Macaca fascicularis: one gene and its partners. The protein of the gene in region 1 interacts with the protein of each later gene in a biochemical or structural test. Links are inferred from orthologs where the notes say so. Each region holds a gene or a part of one and is shown on either strand. Other genes may lie near its edges. The genes, in order: ATM, SMC1A, ABL1, RBBP8, CHEK2 and RPA2.

Region 1 (3,500 bases):
TTGCAGAGATGGGGTTTTGCCATGTTGCCCCGGCTGGTCTCAAACTCCTGGGCTCAAACGATCTGCCCACCTTGGCCTCCCAAAGTTCTGGGATTACAGGTGTGAGGCATGGTGCCCTGTCTGCCTTGGTCCTACTGTAGTTAATCACAAATTAGTATGTAAGACATTGACATGTGTTCTTTCGTAAATAATTCATGCTCTGCTTCTAAGTTCATTGTGGAGAATATAGATATTAGCTTTCTGTTTTGCTTGTTTGGTTTGTTGGTATTGTAGTGGAAAATGAGATTGATATTGAAATTAATTACAAAAGTTACCTATTTTGATGTAATTAAATCCCTTTATTTAAGCCTGTCTTGAATCTGTATATTTTAGTGTAAGTAGATGTTTAAGTTAGCTAAATAGCTTGGGGAGAGTCCCCTTTGTCCTTCGATGCCTAGGTGTGTGAATTGCACAGTTAAGACAAAAGTAAGTTTATTACCTTTATAATTCTTAGAAGTTTGCTTTTTTCCCTGGGATAAAAACCCATTTTTTTTTCATTTATGTTGTATATCATGTGTGTGATTTTGTAGTTCTGTTAAAGTTTATGGCCTTTGTGTTTTACCTTAATTATTCTATGCAAGATACACAGTAAAGGTTCAGCGAGAGCTGGAGTTGGATGAACTTGCCCTGCATGCACTGAAAGAGGATCGTAAACGCTTCTTATGTAAAGCAGTTGAAAATTACATCAACTGCTTATTAAGTGGAGAAGAACATGATATGTGGGTATTCCGACTTTGTTCCCTCTGGCTTGAAAATTCTGGAGTTTCTGAAGTCAATGGCATGATGAAGGCAAGTGTTATTCAGCCCAATATTCTACCCTGTGCTTGAAAAACTTAGACGTTAGCCCCTTGATGTCAGGGATTTTGTATACCTCTTTGTATTCCTACCACTTGATCCAGTGCTCTTCACATGAGTAGCATTTTGTAGTTTTCTAAACTTTGATCCGTATTTAGAATTATTTACAAGTTCTAGCCTTGTTTCTGCAAAAGTTCCTTTGTATTATTATAATATTATATAAGCTTACAAGCTCTAAATGATGCAAGTTTGTGTGGAGGTGAGAGAATTTAGCTTGGTCCTATGTCTTTGCAGTTACCATAGGAGAGTGTCTAGAATGGGGCATTAGATTGGAGGATTTAGAAAGCAATTAAAGATGATGTGATCACAGGCGGGTTTTCCCCCTGCTGCAAAAATCTGGGATTTTTACAATAAATTACTTTTGTAAGTAGAGAAAATACATTTTTAAGAAAATGTCAAGACAGCAGTATTGTATAAGTTTGTCTTTGAAAACCTTAGATTATAGTGATGACACCTAATATTAAATTTATGTTGACAAGATATATATTGTTAGTCAATTTGAAGGTTAGAGATCAAATGTTTCTCCTGCAGTAAAAGAATAAGACTCATAATAGATACAATCAATCTCTGCTGTAGTATACACTAAATATTACTTTTGGCCTATGGGGAAAAGCAATTACTTCATTTTATTGTACACTGACTTGTCAGGAATCAAGATCATAGTCACACTCAGATCACATTTGTCTTCCTTAGATTTTTTGGAATATAAGCAGTACCAAGTATTCCAGTTCCGAATGCAGTTTAATTTAGGACTAAATATTTTGATTTACCAGTGCATTGTACCCATTATCTAGAGTACTCATTAGAAAGACCTTCAGATAAGATAAGAAATAAAGGAAAAAAATACAGTTAATGAAGTTTTGTTAACCACTTGCTTGTACTAATAGAGGAGCACTGTCTTAAAATAATTTATTTGCTTAGATGTGAGAATATTTGAAATACCTTGTTTATTAATTTTGTGTCTTTTTTTTAATGGTAGAGAGATGGAATGAAGATTCCATCATATAAATTTTTGCCTCTTATGTACCAACTGGCTGCTAGAATGGGGACCAAGATGATGGGAGGCCTAGGATTTCATGAAGTCCTCAATAATGTAAGTAAACCTGAAAATCAAACCACAATAATTATTTTCTATTATTAGTATATATTATATAAAGTATGTATACCATTCCCTCTAAGAAATGGAAATACAAAATGTTATATTTTGTCTCTTCTCACATCACATAAGTTACTCATTTTCTCTAATTCCTCATAGGCCTCTGCCTCTTTCTCACACATGCAGACATACATGCTCTACCCACTGCAGTATCTAGACAGTAATACACATTTTAATGTTAACCAAAATGAAAAATATGGATTATAATTTGTCTATTTGCATAAATCTAATAGTTCTTAATTTTCTTACAGCTAATCTCTAGAATTTCAATGGATCACCCCCATCATACTTTATTTATTATACTGGCCTTAGCAAATGCAAACAGAGATGAATTTCTGACTAAACCAGAGGTAGCAAGAAGAAGTAGAATAACTAAAAATGCGCCTAAACAAAGCTCTCAGCTTGATGAGGTATTTGGATTAAACATACATACCTTTTAGAAGTGTGATATTCAGTCTTTCCTAGAATATTTATTTTTAAAGTCTTGTGTTATTATGATGCCATCTAAAATTGGTTCAAGGCTGGCACGGTGGCTCACACCTGTAATCCCAGCACTTTGGGAGGCTGAGGCGGGTCGATCACTTGAGGTCAGGAGTTCGAGACCATCCTGGCTGACGGACATGGCGAAACCCTGTCTCTACTAAAAATACAAAAATTAGCTGGGCATGATGGTGGGCACCTGTAATCCCAGCTACTCGGGAGGCTGAGACAGGAGAATAGCTTGAACTCGGGAGGCAGAGGTTGCAGTGAGCCAAGATTGCGCCATTGCACTCCAGCCTGGGCAACAAGCGTGAATTAATTAAAATTGGTTCAAAATTCCTTAATGTTTGTCAAAGCATAGGAGATACCAGTAGTACTTTACTTTTTTCCTCACAGCAGCTGGCAAAGGGAAACAATAGATTTTTGAAAGGCACCTAAGTCATTGATGGGAGTATGTATTTTTGATGTATTTCATTTATGACTGTTTTGTTTGTATCTGAGGAATTATAATCATTCCATTGTCTAGATTTGTGCATAAATTCTGTTTTTGTTTTTCTAACTCTGAGAAGTTTAAATGTTGGGTAGTTCCTTATGTAATGTTTTTTGTTTGTTTTTTATTAATAGGATCGAACAGAGGCTGCAAACAGAATAATATGTACTATCAGAAGTAGGAGACCTCAGATGGTCAGAAGTGTTGAGGCACTTTGTGATGCTTATATTATATTAGCAAACTTAGATGCCACTCAGTGGAAGACTCAGAGAAGTATGTGTTTCAAAGAAGGAACATTACTTTCTTGCTATGTTACTCTCTGTAGACATATATTAATTATAGAGCCTAATAAGTAAATCTGCTTAAAATCACAAACGTAATCCAAAAGCTTAATTTATATCTGATAGCTTCAACATTCCCTGGTTGCTTTTTCACTTAATATCTCTTGGTAGAACTGATAATAGGTGACTACACTAAATT
Region 2 (3,500 bases), on another chromosome or scaffold:
TAAAAAGGTTAAAAAAAAAAAAAAAAAAAAGGCCAGGCGGGGGTTGGGGCCAGGTGTGGTGGCTCATGCCTGTAATCCCAGCACTTTGGGAAGCCAAGGTGGGCGGATCACAACGTCAGGAGTTCGAGACCAGTCTGGCCAGCATGGTGAAACCCCATCTCTACTAAAAATACAAAAAATTAGCCGGGCATGGTGGAGTACACCTGTAGTCCCAGCTACTCGGGAGGCTGAGGCAGGAGAATTGCATGAACCTGGGAGGCGGAGATTGCAGTGAGCTGAGATCATGCCACTGTACTCCAACCTGGGCGACAGAGCAAGACTCCATCTTGAGGAAAAAAAAAAAAGGCTGGCACTATGGCTCACACCTGTAATCCAAGCACTTTGGGAGGCTGAGGCAGGAGGATCACTTGAGCCCGAGTTCCAGACCAGTCTGGGCAACATGGCAAAACCCCATTTCTACAACAACAACAACAAAAAAAACCCAGAAAAACAAAAATTAGCCGGGTGTGGTGGCAAACATCTGTAGTCCCAACTACTCAGGAGGCTGAGGTGGGAGGACCACCTGAGCCTGGGAAGGTCAAGGTTGCCACTGCACTCCAGTCTCAGCGAAAAAAAAAAAAAAAGGAAAACAGGTAATCTTAAAAAAAGAAATTATTTCACCTGATCCTCCCAACAATGCCATGAGATAGGTATCATTATACCATTCTGCAGATACTGCAGCTTACAGAAGTCAAGTCACTGCCAAAGATAACGAGTTGTGGAGCTGGGGCTGTAATCCAGGAATCCAGGAAATCAAGTTTAGAGTTAGCACTCTTAACCACTATAACTATGCCATACTGCCCTCCTGATTTCTGTTCTTTAAGGCCTACCTACATAAACTCACACAGTTCTAAGAGCTGACCCTTGCCTATGACAGCATCTGGTTTTCCAAGGATGTCAGGTTAGAGCCTCAAGGGCATCCCAATATCTTCTACCAATCCTCCCACCTACCGCTTCTTGGCGATTTCATTCTGCCGTTTCACCTTCTCTTCCTCAAACTCCCGGATGTTGCGCACACCGATCTCCCGACAAAACTCTTCAAACACCTCATCCTCTACCTGAGAAGAGAAGCCAGGGAGGGCATCGGCCCTTTTAGTCTGTCCTGCTTCCAGTCCCAGTCCTGCCCTGACGCACACGCTGGCATGGCCCACACCCTACCAACCTGGTTCATCTTCTCCTTCAAGTCTTTCATCTCCCTCTCTCGGCTCTGAATGATCCTCTTGATATCATTAATGCGAGGCCCAAAGTTGGCTAGCTCACTCTCCAGCTTGGATTTTTCCTACAGGCAATGGGTTGAGAGGACAAAACAGACCAGGGTCCTTGGAGGAAAAGCTACCTTGACTGCATTGGTCCCACAGTCAGGAAGGGCTAGCTCTCCACATCTGAGAGAACCTGGCTTAGCACTACTGCCCTAGTCAAGTCTCCATGATGTTGCACAGAAGCCATCACATGGCTTCTTCCCTGGCATCCAGTTCAGCCAGCTTCAATCCACAGGGCTGGGCACACAGTAAACATCATTAGGTATAGGTCCCAATCTTTGATCTATAACCCCTGGGGGCAGAGTTGTTTCAGAATTCAGTTTAGGGTTTTTGAGTTTAGAAAAAGATAGATAAATACACACACTACACATAAGACCTCCAGGGTGGTCTGGGGAAGTACCCGATAATAATAATAAAAAAAAAAACAATATACCTAGAACAGTACTGCGCCCCACCCCACCACTACCACAAGCAGGGACTGAAATGCCCACAGCTCACTTTCAAAAATTCAAATTGCTGAATGAACAAATTATGCTAACAATAGCACCTAACATAAACTGAACACATAGCAGTCTTAGGCACTTTACATGTTAACTCATTCAATAATGACCCTATAAAGTAGGTATCATTTATTTATTTATTTTGAGACAGAGTCTCTGTCACCCAGGCTGGAGTAAAATGGCGCGATCTTGGCTCACTGCAACCTCCACCTCCCAGGTTAAAGCAATTCTCCTGCCCTCAGCATCCCAAGTAGCTGGGATTACAGGCGCCTGCCACCATGCTCGGCTAATTTTTTATATTTGTAGTAGAGACAGGGTTTCATCATGTTGGCCAGGCTGGTCTCCAACTCCTGATCTCAGGTGATCCACCGTGTCCGGCCGAGTAGGTATTATCTTAACTTGCATTTCACAGATTAAGATGTGAAGGTTGACACTGAGAGGTGAAATTACTTGCCTAATGTCATACTCAACGCAGAGCCAAGCTCTGAATCCCTGGCTGTCTGACTCTATGCTATACTTGGCTTCCTGCGGCAGGCTGGGAGGAGACAGGGAAGTGAAACAAGTTCCCCACCCTCAGAGAAACCTAGGCCAGGAATGTGTGGATGGCCTTTGGAGAACAGGGCTGAAGGCCAGGCCCCACCTGCAGATTCAGGGCTAGATGTCGTGTCTTGGTCTGTTCTAGGTCACTCTGGGAGTACTTGAGCCGCATCTGCAGTCCATGGGCCTGAGACTGCACCTGACGCAGCTCTGCCTCTTTCCGTTTTGCCTTCATCTGCTCCTGAAGGGAACAAGAAAGAAGGGCTAGGTGGTAAGGTGGTGGTTGACCTAGGCTTAGGACTCCCACTGCTAAAAACAGCACTGCCTGTGGCTTACTTTCAGCTCCTCTGTCAAGCGCTCCTTCTTCTCTTTCAACTTGTCTACTGCTTTCTCATCCCAGCGCCGCGCCTTGGCCTTCAGGTCACTGGCCCCACCAGAGATCACTCCTGACTTCTGGAATAGGGTTCCATCCAGTGCCACTGTCTACACACAGCAGGGGGAAAAGAGAAGAGGGGGAGAAGCTGAACAAATGAATCTCCAGTACTGAGCCTGTCCAGCTTCAACCTGGGCAAGAGAATCCACACCTTGTGGCGCTGGTGGCCTCCAAAGGCAATGCGGCGGGCATCCTCCACGTTGTCACAGACAAGGGCATTGCCACAAGCATACTGCAGGGCCTTTTTGATGTGAGGTGGCTCATAGCGAATCACATCAATCACTAGCTTGGCCCCCTTCAGCTCCCGGAGTTTTTCATCTGTAGGCTTCACCTGTGGGGAGAAGCTCAGTCAGTGGCAGAACACAAACAGGGAGTACTAGAAGAGGGGCCCTTGAACACTGGCCTGACCCAATCCCCAAGAAGCCTCACCTCCAGGTAGTCAAGAGGCAAGAAGGTCTCAGGCTCCCCACGCTGTTCCTTGATATACTGAATACAGTCCCGGCCTGTCTTCTCCGAGTCCACAATAATGGCATCCATGTTCTTGCCCAAAACCTTGGTTACAGCAATCTGATACTTCTTTTGTGTGGGCTGGCACAGGTCAATGAGGCGGCCATACTGAGTAAAGTAGGAAGGGAAAACTGAAGTATGAAGCTTTTGGGAGCTGGCTCAGGAATCCTAATTCCCAGTGTGGAAAGGGGGACAGACTAGAATCTATATCAGGAAGTGAACGCA
Region 3 (3,381 bases), on another chromosome or scaffold:
CCTTAGGGACCCCTGCTGCAGCTGAGCCAGTGACCCCCACCAGCAAAGCAGGCTCAGGTGCACCAGGAGGCACCAGCAAGGGCCCCGCCGAGGAGTCCAGAATAAGGAGGCACAAGCACTCCTCTGAGTCGCCAGGAAGGGACAAGGGGAAATTGTCCAGGCTCAAACCTGCCCCGCCGCCCCCACCAGCAGCCTCTGCAGGGAAGGCTGGAGGAAAGCCCTCGCAGAGCCCGAGCCAGGAGGCGGCTGGGGAGGCAGGCCCGGGTGCAAAGACAAAAGCCACGAGCCTGGTTGATGCTGTGAACAGTGATGCTGCCAAGCCCAGCCAGCCAGGAGAGGGACTCAAAAAGCCCGTGCTCCCGGCCACTCCAAAGCCACAGTCCACCAAGCCGTCGGGGACCCCCATCAGCCCAGCCCCCATTCCCTCCACGTTGCCAACAGCATCCTCAGCCCTGGCAGGGGACCAGCCGTCTTCCACTGCCTTCATCCCTCTCATATCAACCCGAGTGTCTCTTCGGAAAACCCGCCAACCTCCAGAGCGGATCGCCAGTGGCGCCATCACCAAGGGCGTGGTCCTAGACAGCACCGAGGCGCTGTGCCTCGCCATCTCTAGGAACTCAGAGCAGATGGCCAGCCACAGTGCAGTGCTCGAGGCCGGCAAAAACCTCTACACGTTCTGCGTGAGCTACGTGGATTCCATCCAGCAAATGAGGAACAAGTTTGCCTTCCGAGAGGCCATCAACAAACTGGAGAATAATCTCCGGGAGCTTCAGATCTGCCCGGCGACAGCAGGCAGTGGTCCGGCAGCCACTCAGGACTTCAGCAAGCTCCTCAGTTCGGTGAAGGAAATCAGTGACATAGTGCAGAGGTAGCAGCAGTCAGGGGTCAGGTGTCAGGCCCGCCGGAGCTGCCTGCAGCACATGCGGGCTCTCCCATACCCGTGACAGTGGCTGACAAGGGACCAGTGAGTCAGCACCTTGGCCCAGGAGCTCTGCACCAGGCAGAGCTGAGGGCCCTGTGGAGTCCAGCTCTACTACCTACGTTTGCACCGCCTACCCTCCCGCACCTTCCTCTTCCCCACCCGGGCTCCCTGCTCCATCTCTGTCCTCGAGTTTTATCTGTGGAGTTCCTGCTCCGTGGACTGCAGTCAGCATGCCAGGACCCGCCAGCCCCGCTCCCACCTAGTGCTCCAGACTGAGCTCTCCAGGCCAGGTGGGAACAGCTGATGTGGAGTGTCCTTTTCATTTTTTCTCTCTGGAGCCCCTCCTCCCCTGGCTGGGCTTCTCCTTCCACTTCTCCAAGAATGGAAGCCTGAACCGAGGCCTTGTGCATCAGGCCCTCTGCCTGCACTCCCTGGCCTTGCCTGTCCTGTGCTGAAGACATGTTTCAAGAACCACATTTCGGGAAGGGCACACACGGGCATGCATCACGGCTGGTCACTCTGCCCTCCGCTGCTGCCCGGGGTGGGGTGCACTCGCCATTTCCTCATGTGCAGGACAGCTCTTGATTTGGGTGGAAAACAGGGTGCTAAAGCCAACCAGCCTTTGAGTCCTGGGCAGGTGGGAGCTGAAAAGGATCGAGGCACGGGGCATGTGCTTTCCATCTGTCCTCTCCACATCCCCAGAGCGCAGCTCTTGCTCTCTTGTGACGTGCACTGTGAATCCTGGCAAGAAAGCTTGAGTCTCAAGGGTGGCAGGTCACTGTCACTGCCAACATCCCTCCCCCGACAGAATGGAGGCAGGGGACAAGGGAGGCAGTGGCTAGTTGGGTGAACAGCTGGTGCCAAATATCCCCAGACTGGGCCCAGGCAGGTCTGCAAGGGCCCAGAGTGAACTTTCCTTTCACACATCTGGGTGCCCTGAAAGGGCCCTTCCCCTCCCCCACTCCTCTAAGACAAAGTAGATTCTTCCAAGGCCCTTTCCTTTGGAACAAGACAGTCTTTGCTTTTCTTGAAGCATTTCAAAGCCCTGCCTCTCTGTAGCCACCCTGAGAGAGAACGGAGCTGCCACCGGGCACCTGCGCACAGGCGGGAGGAAAGGGCCTGGGCAGTCCTGGTCCTGGCTGCACTCTAACTGGGCGAATGTCTTATTTAATTACCGTGAGTGACATAGCCTCATGTTCTGTGGGGGGTCATCAGGGAGTGTTAGGAAAACCACAAATGGAGCCCCTGACTGAAAGCCTCGAGTGTTTCACAGAGCACGCCTGCCGTCTTCTCCCCGAGGCTGCCCCAGGCTGGAGCCCAGGTACAGGGGCTGTGACTCTGGGCAGGGACCCGGGGTCTCCTGGACCTTGACAGAACAGCTAACTCCAAGAGCAGTGGGCAGGTGGCCGCCCCCGAGGCTTTACGCTGGGAGAGCCAGGAGGAGCCACCTTCCCGCCTCCCACGCTGCCTCGTGCCAGCAGCCTCGCACAGGCCCTAGCTTTGTACTCATCACCTAAACTTGTACTTTATTTTTCTGGTAGAAATGGTTTCCTCTGGATCGTTTTATGCGGTTCTTACAGCACATCACCTCTTTGCCCCCGACGGGTGTGACACAGCCTGAGGGAGGCACTAGTCACCGACAGCGGCCTTGAAGACAAAGCAGAGCGCCCACCCAGGTCCCCCGACTGCCCGTTTCCATGAGGTACTGGTCCCTTCTTTCTGTTAACGTGACGTGCCACTCTATTTTACACGCATCTGTTGGTATGCATCTTTTATAGACGCTCTTTTATAAGTGGCGTGTGCACAGCGCCCTGCCCTGCTCCCTCGGATGCCTGTGGTGGCTCCTCTGCTTCTCTGGGTCCAGTGCATTTTGTTTCTGTATATGATTCTCTGTGTTTTTTTTGAATCCAAATCTGTCCTCTGTAGTATTTTTTAAATAAATCAGTGTTTACATTAGAATCCTTGGCAGATTGCTTCGGCCTGTGATCCTGCCCTGTTGTTCTGAGCCTGTGATGGGGGGGCGGCCGGGATATAGTGGGTTCCGGTTTTCCCAACAGGGCTGGGGTCCAGCATCAGGTCTTAAGAGCAGAATAGTGGCAGGTTGCCCCCAGCTACCCAGAGCCTCTGCGGCCTGGGTGCCCACAGCCATCTTTCAGGCACTTGCCCTGCTATGCTTTGACCCTTCCTGTACCCTTGGCACTTACCTGCCGGCAGCTTGGCCCCACCAGCATCACTGGGAGTGGGCTGTGCCACTGTACAAGCCACGTCTGACTGGCGGTGTCAGGCTGTCGCAGCGACATGGAAGTGGGGTGACGAGGTCAGGTCCTGTGCTCCTTGCTGACTGAGGGCAAATCCCTCCCCACCTGCACCTGTTCTCTCTCCACCTTTCCGCCCTAAGCCCCCAGGCGTCCTCACTTATGTTCCTTGAGCCAGGTGTTTTAGATCTTTGTGTAGATGAG
Region 4 (4,271 bases), on another chromosome or scaffold:
ACATACTTATAGTCATACTCACTCCCATTTCTGAGCTCCCATCTCAATTATTATAATTATAGTATTTAATGGAGTTTGATTCGTATAGTCATTACTAGTTGTGATTCCTCTGAGATCTAGCAAGTGCTTGACTCTGATAAGCATTTATTAAGTACCTTCTAAGTGTCCGTCAGTGTTCTAGACACTAGAAATACAAAAATAAAAATGGCAACTTTTGGTTCATATGTATTCTTTTTAATTAAGAGGTATAAAAATAGAAAAGAAACTGAGCATGGAATATGTGCTATGGTCCCTGCAACAGTTGCATCAGAATCACTAGAAGTGCTTGGGCAACATTCCTATTGAATGCTGAAGCAGAATCTGTGGCGGTTAGACCCAGGAATCTGTGCTCTTAATCAACACTTCAGATGACTCTTAAGCACAAAAGTTTCAGAAACACTATGGCAGTAGACAGGAAACGATGCTTCTAAATGTGCAAGTATTATGAGAGAGTAAGCACAAATCTCACATGATCTCTCTTAATACAAACTAATTTCTGTCAAAATGTAATGTTTTGCTGCTCATTTCTTCTTTCCAAAAGTTTACTCGACATGCTTAATCGGGAACTTTGAAGTTGCTCTCATCTTTACTAATTTTACTCACACTGTGAACCCTGTACCTAGCACAGTTCTTAAAACATAGTTGATATAAATACTCTGTGTTGAACCGTTGAATATTCAGAGCAAAACCTCTCTAAGTTGTCCCTAGTATGTAGAATTAGGAGTTTTTCCAATTTTAGACTGGAATGGTATGAGAATCATTTGAGAACAAGGAAGATAACACACCCAGGCAAATGTTTGGTCAACCTACACCTTGTTTCTCTCCTTCTAGAAATACTTCCTTCTAGCTCTCAAGCCCACTACCCTGTGAGGAATATCAATCTCTCTCCTCAAGGTTAAGCTGGATTAAGCAAAGCCAAGCAGACTAGTGGAAAAGGTCAGGCATTATAGGATTCATCTTCATCATAGGTAATCTATTTCTAGAGGCTGTAGTCAGCAGAATGCCCCAGAATACATGTTTAAAAGGATTACCTACCTCTGAAGATAACAGACCACTTGCTTATATATGTCTACCATGAGAGTCTTATAACAATGCACCCTTGCTATACCTGACACAGATCTACCCCTCCCACTAGAACTCTGAATTATTTTGCTGGAGGCTACAACATTCTGAGTAGTTTGTTGGGAGTTCACGGGAGGTGGGGATAACTCACCCAGTACAAGCTTAGCAGAGCTGAGCCGCTGCAGCATGTTGGGCTAGCCTTTGATACAGACTGGTTGGACAGGTTCTGGATCTACGGAAGAACCGGTTTTACTGGCCTGTTGTGCCAACATATTCTGGTTTGATTCCATGTTCCACAGACGGTAGAAACCTGCCCAGCCAGTTAAATGAAAGGCATATTAGGTTATCCATTGCACACAGTATATAGCTTAGATGCAGCAGAACTCTTCCACATAGCAGTAGTGTCTAGCAAACTAGTGTGGTCCAGAGGTGGTGTTCACTGATTTAATGTTTAAGTTCATAGCTTCAGGGAAAGTGAGCAGTGAAACAATTTCTGCTTTTCACCAAGAGCAGAGGTTTCTAAATAAATTGAAGGGTAAGTATATTTTTTAAATTTCTCAGTTTTCTATGCATTTTGGAAAGTTAAGAAATGATGTTTAAAAAGATAATCGATTTTTAACATAGTAATAGCTGCATTATACCTTTTCTGTAAAGCTAGATATTGCTTTATAACACTTGCATTATGTTCATTGATTTGTTTGCATAAAGTTTATTTGGTATATAATATTCTCTTACTATGCTTTTTTGTAAGTTGTGCATGGCTATAGTAATTTTAAAAGCTAGACTGAATAATTTTGCCAAATAAATTTCAAATATTAATGATTTATATTAAGCCATCTACTTCTTTCATAATGTAACTATTATGTTTTATAGGCTGTTGCTATATGGTAACAATTTTATATGGTAAATCTAATTGTGGATAAATAATAATTGCCTTTTTAAGGCCAAAAAAAGTATTGGCCTGCTGGTGATCCTAAGTACATGCATTAGAACAATTCACAGCAAAAATTGAGGAGTGTGAAAAACAAAGATTGTGGAATCTGGTAACTGATTAACTATTGGAGCTCAAAAGCACTTGCTGAGCTGAATAGAAAGGAATGAAGACAGGTTTTGTCATGCCTATTAGGTCTGAAAAAATTTTTAGGTTAAAGAATACTTGGATCTTCCTTCCATTTATATTAAAAATCTTCCTTTTATCTCTCTCTTTACTTAATCCAATTACTTTATTTTAGTAGTTTGTATCATGTAAAATGAAAGTTACCAATCCCTTTAGATTTATGTTGGCATACCATCCTACCCCTCTATTTACTGATATTAGATTGAATCGAAGCACATGTCTTCTGGGGCATTTAATTTAACATAACAGCTGACATACGATTTTATCTGGGAATTTAAAAAAAATTTTTAACGTATTTATACTGAATGCTTTCCTGTCATCTTAATAGGACTTTGCTTTGAACTGAGCAAGGCTGATGCATCCTTTTCATTGTCCCTAGGGTTCCCACTTTGTCATTATGTTCAAACTCAAAGGCTATAATATTATTTTCTAACTCAAAGGCTGTAACATTAGTTTCCTTAGAATGTTGACAGAATAAAAGTGTAAATAAACGTTCAGATGAGATTTCATTTTTTGCAGGGAAAACCCTTGGATGCTTCATAGTCCTACTTCTAGGCAGTTCTGCATAGAATTTCTGGTAATCCAGGTAAACTGCTGAAAAGCTATGTAATGTTGTATCTGCAAAAGCAATGTGCTGATTCAGCAAACCAATATTAATTTTATTCAGCACAAATTGTATTTTGACAAGTTTTTGGTAATATGGATCAAAACTTTCAATTGGCTGAATTTTTCTGAATTTACTACATGAAACCTAGTTTTCAGGTAATATATATACCAATAGAGCACATTGTTAGTATTTCTGGTGAATATATTGTATGTGGTAATTTAAAAAATTTAAACCACACTGTGTTTAAAACATAGGGCTTACTGTTTAAAGATAAATTTAATTTGGGATTCTAATTTATTTATTGAGCATCATTTATGTTTATAGTTTTGAAGAAAGCTATTTAGGAACTAGATATACATTTTACATAAAATCCATGGGTAAAATTTCAAGCTTAACTCTGTATTTTGGAAGAGGATTGCACAGTTTTCATTTAATGGAATTTTCATTTTCAAATGTAGGTAAGTCCTATTAAATATTACTTTTATATATTTTCCATAAATTGAGTCATTTAAAATATTGATACATTGTGATATTTTTGCTAAAACCCAGGACATATAAATTTGTCAATCAAATTAGGAGTGTGTATTTTATACAGACCAACATATCTCAGCGCCTAGTCAAAAAGTGTTCCACTCATTTAAAATTTTTTTACTCTTTTAGTCGAGGATGCATTTCTTCTTATTCCCAGTCACACAATTTCACATAACTCTTTTTGTCAACAATGCTAGCTTTCTTAACAACTGCAACTTCTTTCCCTTCTGAATATCTTCATGTGTTTTCCACTAAAAGCACTTAGAATTATGACATTTTTTACCTAAGAGGGACATTTAAAGAATAACCAATGAATCTGACACCTCATTTTTGAGTTAAGAAATGAAAAGCCCCAAAATATAGCTAAATCACTATTATATAATCTAAGGGTCGATTCGGAGCCAGAACATCCAGGTTTCCTGACTACCAGCAAGACCAGTAATTTTTTCACTACCCTACATTGACTCTTCTGAATACTACATGAAATCTAATCTAAAAAGGTAAAATTATGTTGTATAGTGTGTTAATGAATCTTTGGTGAACTAAGAAATCATTGGTTTTTGTATTTTAATCTGTATCATTATTGCCCCAAGCATTTTTAGGACAATGGCTAAATATATATGGGATTACCATTGATAATGAACGTGACTACCACTTCAAACCCTAATCTCTTTTTTTTTTTTTTTTTTTTTTTTTGAGACGGAGTCTTGCTCTGTGCCCCAGGCTGGAGTGCAGTGGCGCGATCTCGGCTCACTGCAAGCTCCGCCTCCCGGGTTCACGCCATTCTCCTGCCTCAGCCTCCCGAGTAGCTGGGACTACAGGCGCCCGCCACCTCGCCCGGCTAATTTTCTTGTATTTTTAGTAGAGACGGGGTTTCACCGTGTTAGCCAGGATGGTCTCGATCTCCTGACCTCG
Region 5 (4,293 bases), on another chromosome or scaffold:
CCAGGCTGGAGTGCAGTGGCGCGATCTCGGCTCACTGCAAGCTCCGCCTCCTGGGTTCACGCCATTCTCCTGCCTCAGCCTCCGGAGTAGCTGGGACTACAGGCGCCCGCCACCGCGGCCGGCTAATTTTTTGTATTTTTAGTAGAGACAGGGTTTCACCGTGGTCTCGATCTTCTGACCTTGTGATCCGCCCGCCTCGGCCTCCCAAAGTGCTGGGAATTACAGGCGTGAGCCACCGCGCCCGGCCAAGATGATCTTGAATAAAGTCTTTCTGGTGTTTGAACAAGTGTGACTGAATAACGTTTTCTTTAATACCACCCTATCTTTTCCACAGCCCAGGTCCCTTCATCCCTGTCTCCCGGTTTATTTTAATTCAACCCCGTTCACACTCTACTCCCAGAGTCTGTCCTATTTCCTTATCAGTTCAGCTCTATCCACACTGCCCCATCTCTCCAAGATCGTCAGCCTCAGGGGAAAAAACTATTTATTGGACCCTTTCCCTCGAATTCTCACTTTTCCCTCAGGTCTTGCCTACAATATTAAGATTTTCATGCTTTACTCCCCAATTTCGGACTACACTTCTGCAGTCCTTTCATAAATACATCAAACCAACTCTTCCAGTCTCCCGGGCCCTGCCCCTCAAGTACCCCTTCCTCAAGCTCCGCCCCTCGACTTCTCCTTCCCTTTCCCGTAGGTACCGCCCCTCAAATCTCCCTCCCCTCTAGCCTCGGCCCCCCTATTTCCTCTAACTTCAGCGCCCGCCCCTCCAGTCCCGTTCGTCTCCCTTCTCCACACCTCAACGCTGCTTCCCTCAGTCCCCGCCTCTCAATTTCCTCCTGAGAAATCAAGACACTTCTCTCACGCCTGCTCTCTAGACCTCCGCCCCCCTATCGGTCCCGCCTTCTCTTCCGCAAGCCAGATCCGTCCTCCCCTCTCGCAGGCCAGACCCCGACGTCTCTCTCGCCCGGGCCCGTTTCCCGAAACAGTCGCTCGTACCAGTCCATAAGGCTGAAGTAGTCTCGAGTGGGGTCAGGTGCCTGCAGCGCTCTGCACTGTGGGCAGAAGAACCTGTCCTCCCGCCCGGGGCCCCATGGGCCGCCGCAGTTCCAACAGTGGGGAGAATTGCTTTCCGCCTGCGACGCAGCATCGCAGCTTAGCAGTCTCCTTCTGGGAACCCCTGTTGGCCAAAACCCCCACACCCGGAGCAAAGCCCCGACTCTCCCCCGCCACATCTCGCCGGCGGCCTAGCTAGCCGTGGTCACCCGTGGGGAAAAGCAAAGAGAGCGTCCAACCAGACTAATGCTGCTGATTGGCTGGGGAGTCGAGGGGGCGGGATCACCCGAGGGGAACCCGAGTTCTAAGTTCCGCTCTGCCTTCTAAACTACAACTCCCAGGAAGCATTGAGGCGATGCCTGACGGCCACATCTGCTGCTCCTCATTGGTCCGGCGGCAGGGGAGAGGGTTTTGATTGGCTGAGGGTGGAGTTTGTATCTGCAGGTTTAGCGCCACTGCAGGCTGAGGCTGTGGAGAGTGTGCGGCTCCAGGTGGGCTCACGCGGTGAGTCATATTGGGAACTTCTGTTGGGTGTTTGGTGGTTCGAATCCCATCTTCAGCGTTTCGTGCGAGCGGAGTCTCCTGAGCTTCGCTTTGTCTGTATTTTTGTACTGAAGGGGGAGTGTGTGGGCGACTCTCTTCCTTTTTAGTAGATCATCCTCGAGGTGAAGTTCACTTCCCGTATTACTTACAAGCTGAAACAGGCCTGAACGGACAGGATAAGAAGGAACAGAGTTGTGTTCTTCAATATCAGAGCGAAGTTACTTTGTAAAAAGTTCTATAGATGTTAGTAGTCATTGCCATTCTTTAGATTCAATCTCTAAAATACTTATAGAGAGGCCAGTCTTAGCTACTGGGCGCTGCAGGAACTGGAAACGCACTGAGCTGTGTAGGAGGATGTTCTGCGGGTCCCTAAGTAAGTCCCTAAGTAAGTGTATGGGATAGGGTGGCCAGGAGTGGGTAGGAGGGAATCAGTCCTCCTTCGGACTTAGGTTTTCTACTTGAAAAAAAAGATTGTGTTTCACTTGAAAGCCTTCTGGACTTTTTAAAAAAAATTATTTATTTTTGATATAAAGTATACATGTATGAGTACCACATATGTACCTTTTTTTTTTTTTTTTGAGACGGAGTCTCTCTCTGTTGCCAGGCTGGAGTGCAGTGGCGCGATCTGGGCTCACTGCAACTTCTGCCTCCTGGGTTCAAGCGGTTCTCCTGCCTCAGCCTCCTAAGTATCTAGGATTATAGGTGCCGGCCACCATGCCCGGCTAGTATTTTTAGTAGAGATGGGGTTTTACCATGTTGGCCAGGCTGGTCTTGAACTCCTGACCTCAGGTGATCCACCCGCCTTGGCCTCCCAAAGTGCTGGGATTACAGGTGTGAGCCACTGCACCCAGCCTAATTTCAGTTTTTTGAGGAATCACAATACTTTTGTGATTAGTGGCTATACTAATTTGCATTCCCACCAATGGTGTATGTGAACAGGGCAAGGTCAGACATAACTAGGTCCGTGAACATTTGTGTTTTTCCACAAGATCAGACTTATTGATGTTTTATTTTAATTGTAAAAGCCACGAGCTACATGGAGTTCCCAAGGAAGCAATTTTCTGTAGTACTACCTGTTTACTTGGTAGTCAGAACCGTGGGCACACAGGCTGAAGCCATTCCACAAGTCAGTCAGCATTGTAAATTATACACAATAGTATATTTATTTAATATATAAATGTTATAGGTTAAAAATCTTACATTAAAGTAACATTTAACATTCAGAGAAAAGGGGATAGGGAAAGCGGTTATCAAACCAGTCCAAGGAGAGCAATGTGGACAAAGAGAGTGTTTTGGCTTGATCTGGGGTGTCAGTGTCTTGTAAGGAAGAGTTTTTTGATGTGGATGAGCCTTTGGTGGCAGATGCTGGGTGTTAATCGTGAGTGACAGCAAGATGGTGTCTGTTAGGACAGCCATTCTGACCTAATAAAGTCCTGGTCTTATGACCACAAAATTTTCTGGTAAGGACTAATAACAAAAGCGTGTACATGTTTATGTCCTTATCTGGTTTAGTACCGTCTTTTTTTGTTTTTTTTTTTGAGACAGAGTCTCGCTTTGTCTCTCGCAGGCTAGAGTGCAGTGGCGTGATCTCGGATCACTGCAACTTCCGACTCCCTGGTTCAAGCGATTCTCCTGCCTCAGCCTCCCAAGTAGCTGGGATTACAGGCACGTGACACCACGCCCAGCTAAGTTTTGTATTTTTAGTAGAGTCGGGGTTTCACCATGATGGCCAGGATGGTCTTGATCTCCTGACTTTGTGATCCGTCTGCCTTGGCCTCCCAAAGTGCTGGGATTACAGGCGTGAACCACTGTGCCTGGCCAGTACAGTCTTTATTAATTAGACAAACATCTGGTCCCTATTGGCATAATGCCTTTTAAAATACAAGAGCCTTTTTCTAAGATAAAATTACTTATGTCAAGAGCACTCTGTACAGTTCCCCTTTCTCCACATTCTTCCCAGCATCTGTTATTGCCTGTCTTTTATTCAAACCATTTTAACTGGGGTGAGATGGTATCTCATTGTAGGTTTGTTTGTTTGTTTGTTTGTTTGTTTGAGACAGAGTCTTACTCTGTAGCCTAGGCTGGAATGCAGTGGTGCGATTTTGACTCACTGCATTCTCTGCCTCCCAGGTTCAAGCGATTCTCCTGCCTCAGCCTCCCAAGTAGCTGGGATTATAGACACCTGCCACCATGCCCAGCTAATTTTCATATTTTTAGTGGAGACAGGGTTTCACCATGTTGGCCAGGCTGGTCTCAAACTCCTGACCTCAAGTGATCTGCCCGCCTCCGCCTCCCAAAGTTCTGGGATTACAGGCATGAGATACTGTGCCCAGGCCTCACTGTAGTTTTGATTTGTTATTTCTCCAATGATCAGTGATGTTGAGCATTTTTTTATATACCCGTTGGCCATTTGTATGTCTTCTTTTGAGAAATGTCTGTTCGGATCTTTTGCCCATTTCTTTTTTTTGAGACAGAGTCTCACTCTGTCACCTAGCCTGGAGTGCAGTGGCGCGATCTCGGCTCACTGCAATCTCCGTCTCCGTTTCCTGGATTCAAGTGATTCTCATGTCTCAGCCTCCAAAGTAGCTGGGACTACAGGCACGAGCCACCACGCCCAGCTAATTTTTTGTATTTTTAGTAGAGATGTGGTTTCGCCATGTTGGCCAGGCTGGTCTTGAAGTCCTGACCTCAGATGAT
Region 6 (3,500 bases), on another chromosome or scaffold:
AATCGCTTGAACCCGGGAGGCAGAGATTGCAGTGAGCCAAGATTGTGCCATTGCATTCAGCCTGGGCAAAAAGAGCAAAATTCCATCTCAAAAAAATAAAATAATGATATATTCCTAAAAGTAGGTTTTCTGGGGGGAAATACACACTTCACTTTTTTTTTAACATCTTAATTTTTGCATTTTTGTACTGTCTTCTATAAAGGTACCAGTTTACACTTCAATCATGCATGAGAGTGCCCAGTTAGTTTCCATACCCTTAACTTTTTTTTTTTTTTTTTTTTTTTTTAAGAAATAGGATCTCACCGTGTTGCCCAGGTTGGTCTCAAACTCCTGGGTTCAAGCAATCCTCCCACCTCAGCCTCCCAACATGCTGGGATTACAGGTGTGAGCCACTGTGCCCATCCTCCATACCCTTTCTAACAATGGGTTTTTTTGTTTGTTGTTGTTTTGTTTTGAGACGGAGTTTCGCTCTTGTTGCCTAGGCTAGAGTGCAATGGCGCAATCTCGGCTCACTGCAACCTCCACCTCCCAGGTTCAAGCAATTCTCCTGCATCAGCCTCCCGAGTAGCTGGGATTACAGGCGTGTACCACCATGCCCAGCTAATTTTGTAATTTTAGTAGAGATGGGGTTTCTCCATGTTGAGGCTGGTCTCTAACTCCTGACCTCAGGTGATCCTCCTGCCTTGGCCTCCCAAAGTTCTGGGATTACAGGCGTGAGCCACCACATCCGGCCTAACAATGGGTTTTTGTCTTAAATTTTTGCCAGTATGATAGTTGTTTTAAAAAAATAGTCTTTTTGACCAGGTGCGGTGGCTCATGCCTGTAATCCCGGGACTTTGGGGAGGCCAAGACGAGTGGATCACCTGAGGTCAGGAGTTTGAGACCAGCCTGGCCAACATGGTGAAACCCCATCTCTACTAAAAATACAAAAATTAGCCTGGCATGGTGTTGCGTGCCTGTAGCCCCAGCTACTCGGGAGGCTGAGGCGGGAGAATTGCTTGAACCCGTGAGGCAGAGGTTGCAATGAGCTGAAATCGTGCCACTGCACTCCAGGCTGGATGACAGAGCAAGACACTTCATCTCAAAAAAAAAAAATCAGCTAATGTATTTTTTTTTTTTTTTTTTTTTTTTGAGTCGGAGTCTCGCTGTGTCGCCCAGGCTGGAGTGCAGTGGCCGGATCTCAGCTCACTGCAAGCTCTGCCTCCCGGGTTTTTACGCCATTCTCCTGCCTCAGCCTCCCGAGTAGCCGGGACTACAGGCGCCCGCCACCTCGCCCGGCTAGTTTTTTGTATTTTTTAGTAGAGACGGGGTTTCACCGTGTTAGCCAGGATGGTCTCGAACTCCTGACCTCGTGATCCGCCCGTCTCGGCCTCCCAAAGTGAACTAATGTATTTTTCTTATAAATAATGTGTCCATAGTCTAGGAAACTGATAAATATTAAAATAGTTTGTAATTATCCTAGTCAACCATTAAACAGTTTAGTGTATATTGTCCCAAATGGGAAATCAGCTTTTTTCCATGTGTCATGACTTGTTTTTCCAGACAGTAAATAGAATTCTGTGTTATCATTTGCAACAGTGTGGAGTATCCTATCATATAGAAATGTGTACTTTATGTTGCATATTTAGGTTGTTTTACAATTTTTAATATTCTGTACTATGATAAATCTAAATCTTAATGCATGTTCTTAATTACTTCCTTAAATTCCCAAAAGTAGAATTGCTTTGCCAGTAAGTATATCCACCATAAAATTGTGTGCCTGCGGGGCATGGTGGCGGGCGCCTATAATCCCAGCTATGGGGGAAGCTGAGGCAGGAGAATCACTCAAACCCTCCCTTGGGAGGGGGAGGTTGCAGTGAGCCAAGATCATGCCACTGCACTCCAGTCTGGGCGACAGAGCGAGACTCCCTCACAAAAAAAAAAAAAAAAAGAAAATTGTGTGCCTAAGAGCTTGAATGAGAGTGTCATAATTGTTTACTTTTTTATGATGTGCTACAGAACTTTGGAACTGAGAATTACCTTTAGAGATATTTTTATTCTAATTCCTGGTTTTACAAAAAAGTAAGTTGTAAAAGGCAGGGCAAACTCCTTAATGCCATTTTAGGATCCTTTAACTCTTCTACTTTGTAACTTTCTCTTTCTCTACATAATATAGAAATGTTAAAGAGGCTTTCACCAGCATCACTAAAACCTTAATGACATGTTTGTATTTTATGTTAGGATGCCAGCAGTGAAAACACTGTGGTTCCTCCAGAAACATATGTGAAAGTGGCAGGCCACCTGAGATCTTTTCAGGTAAAGTCAGAATAAAATAGCAGTTAAAGTGTTTTTGCATGAAGCAGTTTCTAGATTCATGTCATGGCTTTTGGATAGTTAAAATACTTAAGTCCCCCTGTTTAATGGGAAGTTATTTCTTACTCTCTTCTTCAAAAGGAAATAACTCTTCTTTCTTTTTTTTTTTTACCTTAACATGAAATTGACAGAATAGTAAAGAAAGAACAGAATCTCCTACAATTGCCATCTGTGGCGTTCATTAGTTGGAGAAAGGAGAACACTAGATTCGGAGTCAGGAGTCTAGATTTTGCTCCGTTATGCAACCTTGGGAAAATTATTAATGTCCCTTAGCTATTAATTTTAGTGTTTTTCTCATGTTTGACCATGTTTGGATTACTGCTGAGAGTATATAACATTTCTCTCATATTGGCAAAATATTAATATTATAACCAAGAAAAGAGCCACATTGTTGACCTGAAATTAATGTATGTTCATATTTTATTCACATTTTTTTCTTCATTTTGATAGAACAAAAAGAGCCTGGTAGCCTTTAAAATCATGCCTCTGGAGGATATGAATGAGTTCACCACACATATTCTGGAAGTGATCAATGCACACATGGTACTGAGCAAAGCCAACAGCCAGGTGAGTAGCCTCACTTGCCTAGCTTTTTCTCTTCCCTGGAAGAACACAGGTTACTTTTGTGTTCCAGCTTTGATTTCCTTGACATTTTGAAGGCCGAGCCAGAGAAAGACATCACTAAGTCCTCCGAACACTTTCTCCATTAGCTTTGTCACCGTATTTTATTTCAGATGAAACACTGATGTTTCTCTCAGAATTAAGAGTTCCTCTGACACTGGCCTGGACAGCTGGGGCCTGTGACAACCCTTAGGTGTAGACATGTAATTATAGGCTGAGCTCTTAGCTCCAAGGATTGTCAGTGCATATTCAGAGAGTAGCCCCCTTCAGGACAGCATTTTGCTGTCTTCCTTCCAACTTACTGGCTAAGTAGGAAAAATTATGTACTATTATATTTTTTCCCTGAAATTATATTTATTGATTCGTATTGAAATTTCTCCATAGTATTTTCCATTGTGTGAATTGACTTTGGCAAGTCCATCTAGGACCACACAAAAGGTTTGTTGACTCTAGTATTAGAAAGCCCTCAGGGCCAGGTGTGGTGGTTCATGGCCTGAAATCCTAGCACTTTGGGAGGATGGTATGGG

The links.
Region 2: the proteins of ATM (region 1) and SMC1A form a complex in vitro, tested with the Homo sapiens proteins (2 studies listed by BioGRID and IntAct, with this or other methods). The link is inferred for Macaca fascicularis from reciprocal best matches to the Homo sapiens genes ATM and SMC1A.
Region 3: of the proteins of ATM (region 1) and ABL1, one has a biochemical effect on the other in vitro, tested with the Homo sapiens proteins (3 studies listed by BioGRID and IntAct, with this or other methods). The link is inferred for Macaca fascicularis from reciprocal best matches to the Homo sapiens genes ATM and ABL1.
Region 4: of the proteins of ATM (region 1) and RBBP8, one has a biochemical effect on the other in vitro, tested with the Homo sapiens proteins (4 studies listed by BioGRID, with this or other methods). The link is inferred for Macaca fascicularis from reciprocal best matches to the Homo sapiens genes ATM and RBBP8.
Region 5: of the proteins of ATM (region 1) and CHEK2, one has a biochemical effect on the other in vitro, tested with the Homo sapiens proteins (6 studies listed by BioGRID, with this or other methods). The link is inferred for Macaca fascicularis from reciprocal best matches to the Homo sapiens genes ATM and CHEK2.
Region 6: of the proteins of ATM (region 1) and RPA2, one has a biochemical effect on the other in vitro, tested with the Homo sapiens proteins (3 studies listed by BioGRID). The link is inferred for Macaca fascicularis from reciprocal best matches to the Homo sapiens genes ATM and RPA2.

Annotation. Positions count from the first base shown.
Region 1 is NC_088388.1:107,338,907-107,342,406, forward strand, and holds part of ATM (serine-protein kinase ATM), read left to right. Parts: intron 1-620; coding exon 621-828; coding exon of another isoform or gene 829-867; exon of another isoform or gene 868-1,732; intron 1,733-1,873; coding exon 1,874-1,987; intron 1,988-2,301; coding exon 2,302-2,460; intron 2,461-3,154; coding exon 3,155-3,293; intron 3,294-3,500.
Region 2 is NC_088395.1:53,395,482-53,398,981, forward strand, and holds part of SMC1A (structural maintenance of chromosomes protein 1A), read right to left. Parts: intron 3,384-3,500; coding exon 3,198-3,383; intron 3,100-3,197; coding exon 2,920-3,099; intron 2,819-2,919; coding exon 2,672-2,818; intron 2,577-2,671; coding exon 2,439-2,576; intron 1,319-2,438; coding exon 1,202-1,318; intron 1,098-1,201; coding exon 991-1,097; intron 1-990. UniProt on the Homo sapiens protein: Involved in chromosome cohesion during cell cycle and in DNA repair. Central component of cohesin complex. The cohesin complex is required for the cohesion of sister chromatids after DNA replication.
Region 3 is NC_088389.1:12,985,434-12,988,814, reverse strand, and holds the end of ABL1 (tyrosine-protein kinase ABL1), read left to right. Parts: coding exon 1-872; 3' UTR 873-2,881; downstream 2,882-3,381. UniProt on the Homo sapiens protein: Non-receptor tyrosine-protein kinase that plays a role in many key processes linked to cell growth and survival such as cytoskeleton remodeling in response to extracellular stimuli, cell motility and adhesion, receptor endocytosis, autophagy, DNA damage response and apoptosis.
Region 4 is NC_088392.1:66,856,212-66,860,482, reverse strand, and holds the start of RBBP8 (DNA endonuclease RBBP8), read left to right. Parts: upstream 1-1,471; 5' UTR 1,472-1,636; intron 1,637-2,737; exon of another isoform or gene 2,738-2,804; intron 2,805-3,744; 5' UTR 3,745-3,856; intron 3,857-4,271. UniProt on the Homo sapiens protein: Endonuclease that cooperates with the MRE11-RAD50-NBN (MRN) complex in DNA-end resection, the first step of double-strand break (DSB) repair through the homologous recombination (HR) pathway.
Region 5 is NC_088384.1:22,925,712-22,930,004, forward strand, and holds the start of CHEK2 (serine/threonine-protein kinase Chk2), read left to right. Parts: upstream 1-1,493; 5' UTR 1,494-1,544; exon of another isoform or gene 1,545-1,969; intron 1,970-4,293. Other genes in the region: iron-sulfur cluster co-chaperone protein HscB, read right to left, coding at 997-1,232. UniProt on the Homo sapiens protein: Serine/threonine-protein kinase which is required for checkpoint-mediated cell cycle arrest, activation of DNA repair and apoptosis in response to the presence of DNA double-strand breaks.
Region 6 is NC_088375.1:207,163,562-207,167,061, forward strand, and holds part of RPA2 (replication protein A 32 kDa subunit), read left to right. Parts: intron 1-2,220; coding exon 2,221-2,295; intron 2,296-2,802; coding exon 2,803-2,919; intron 2,920-3,500. UniProt on the Homo sapiens protein: As part of the heterotrimeric replication protein A complex (RPA/RP-A), binds and stabilizes single-stranded DNA intermediates that form during DNA replication or upon DNA stress.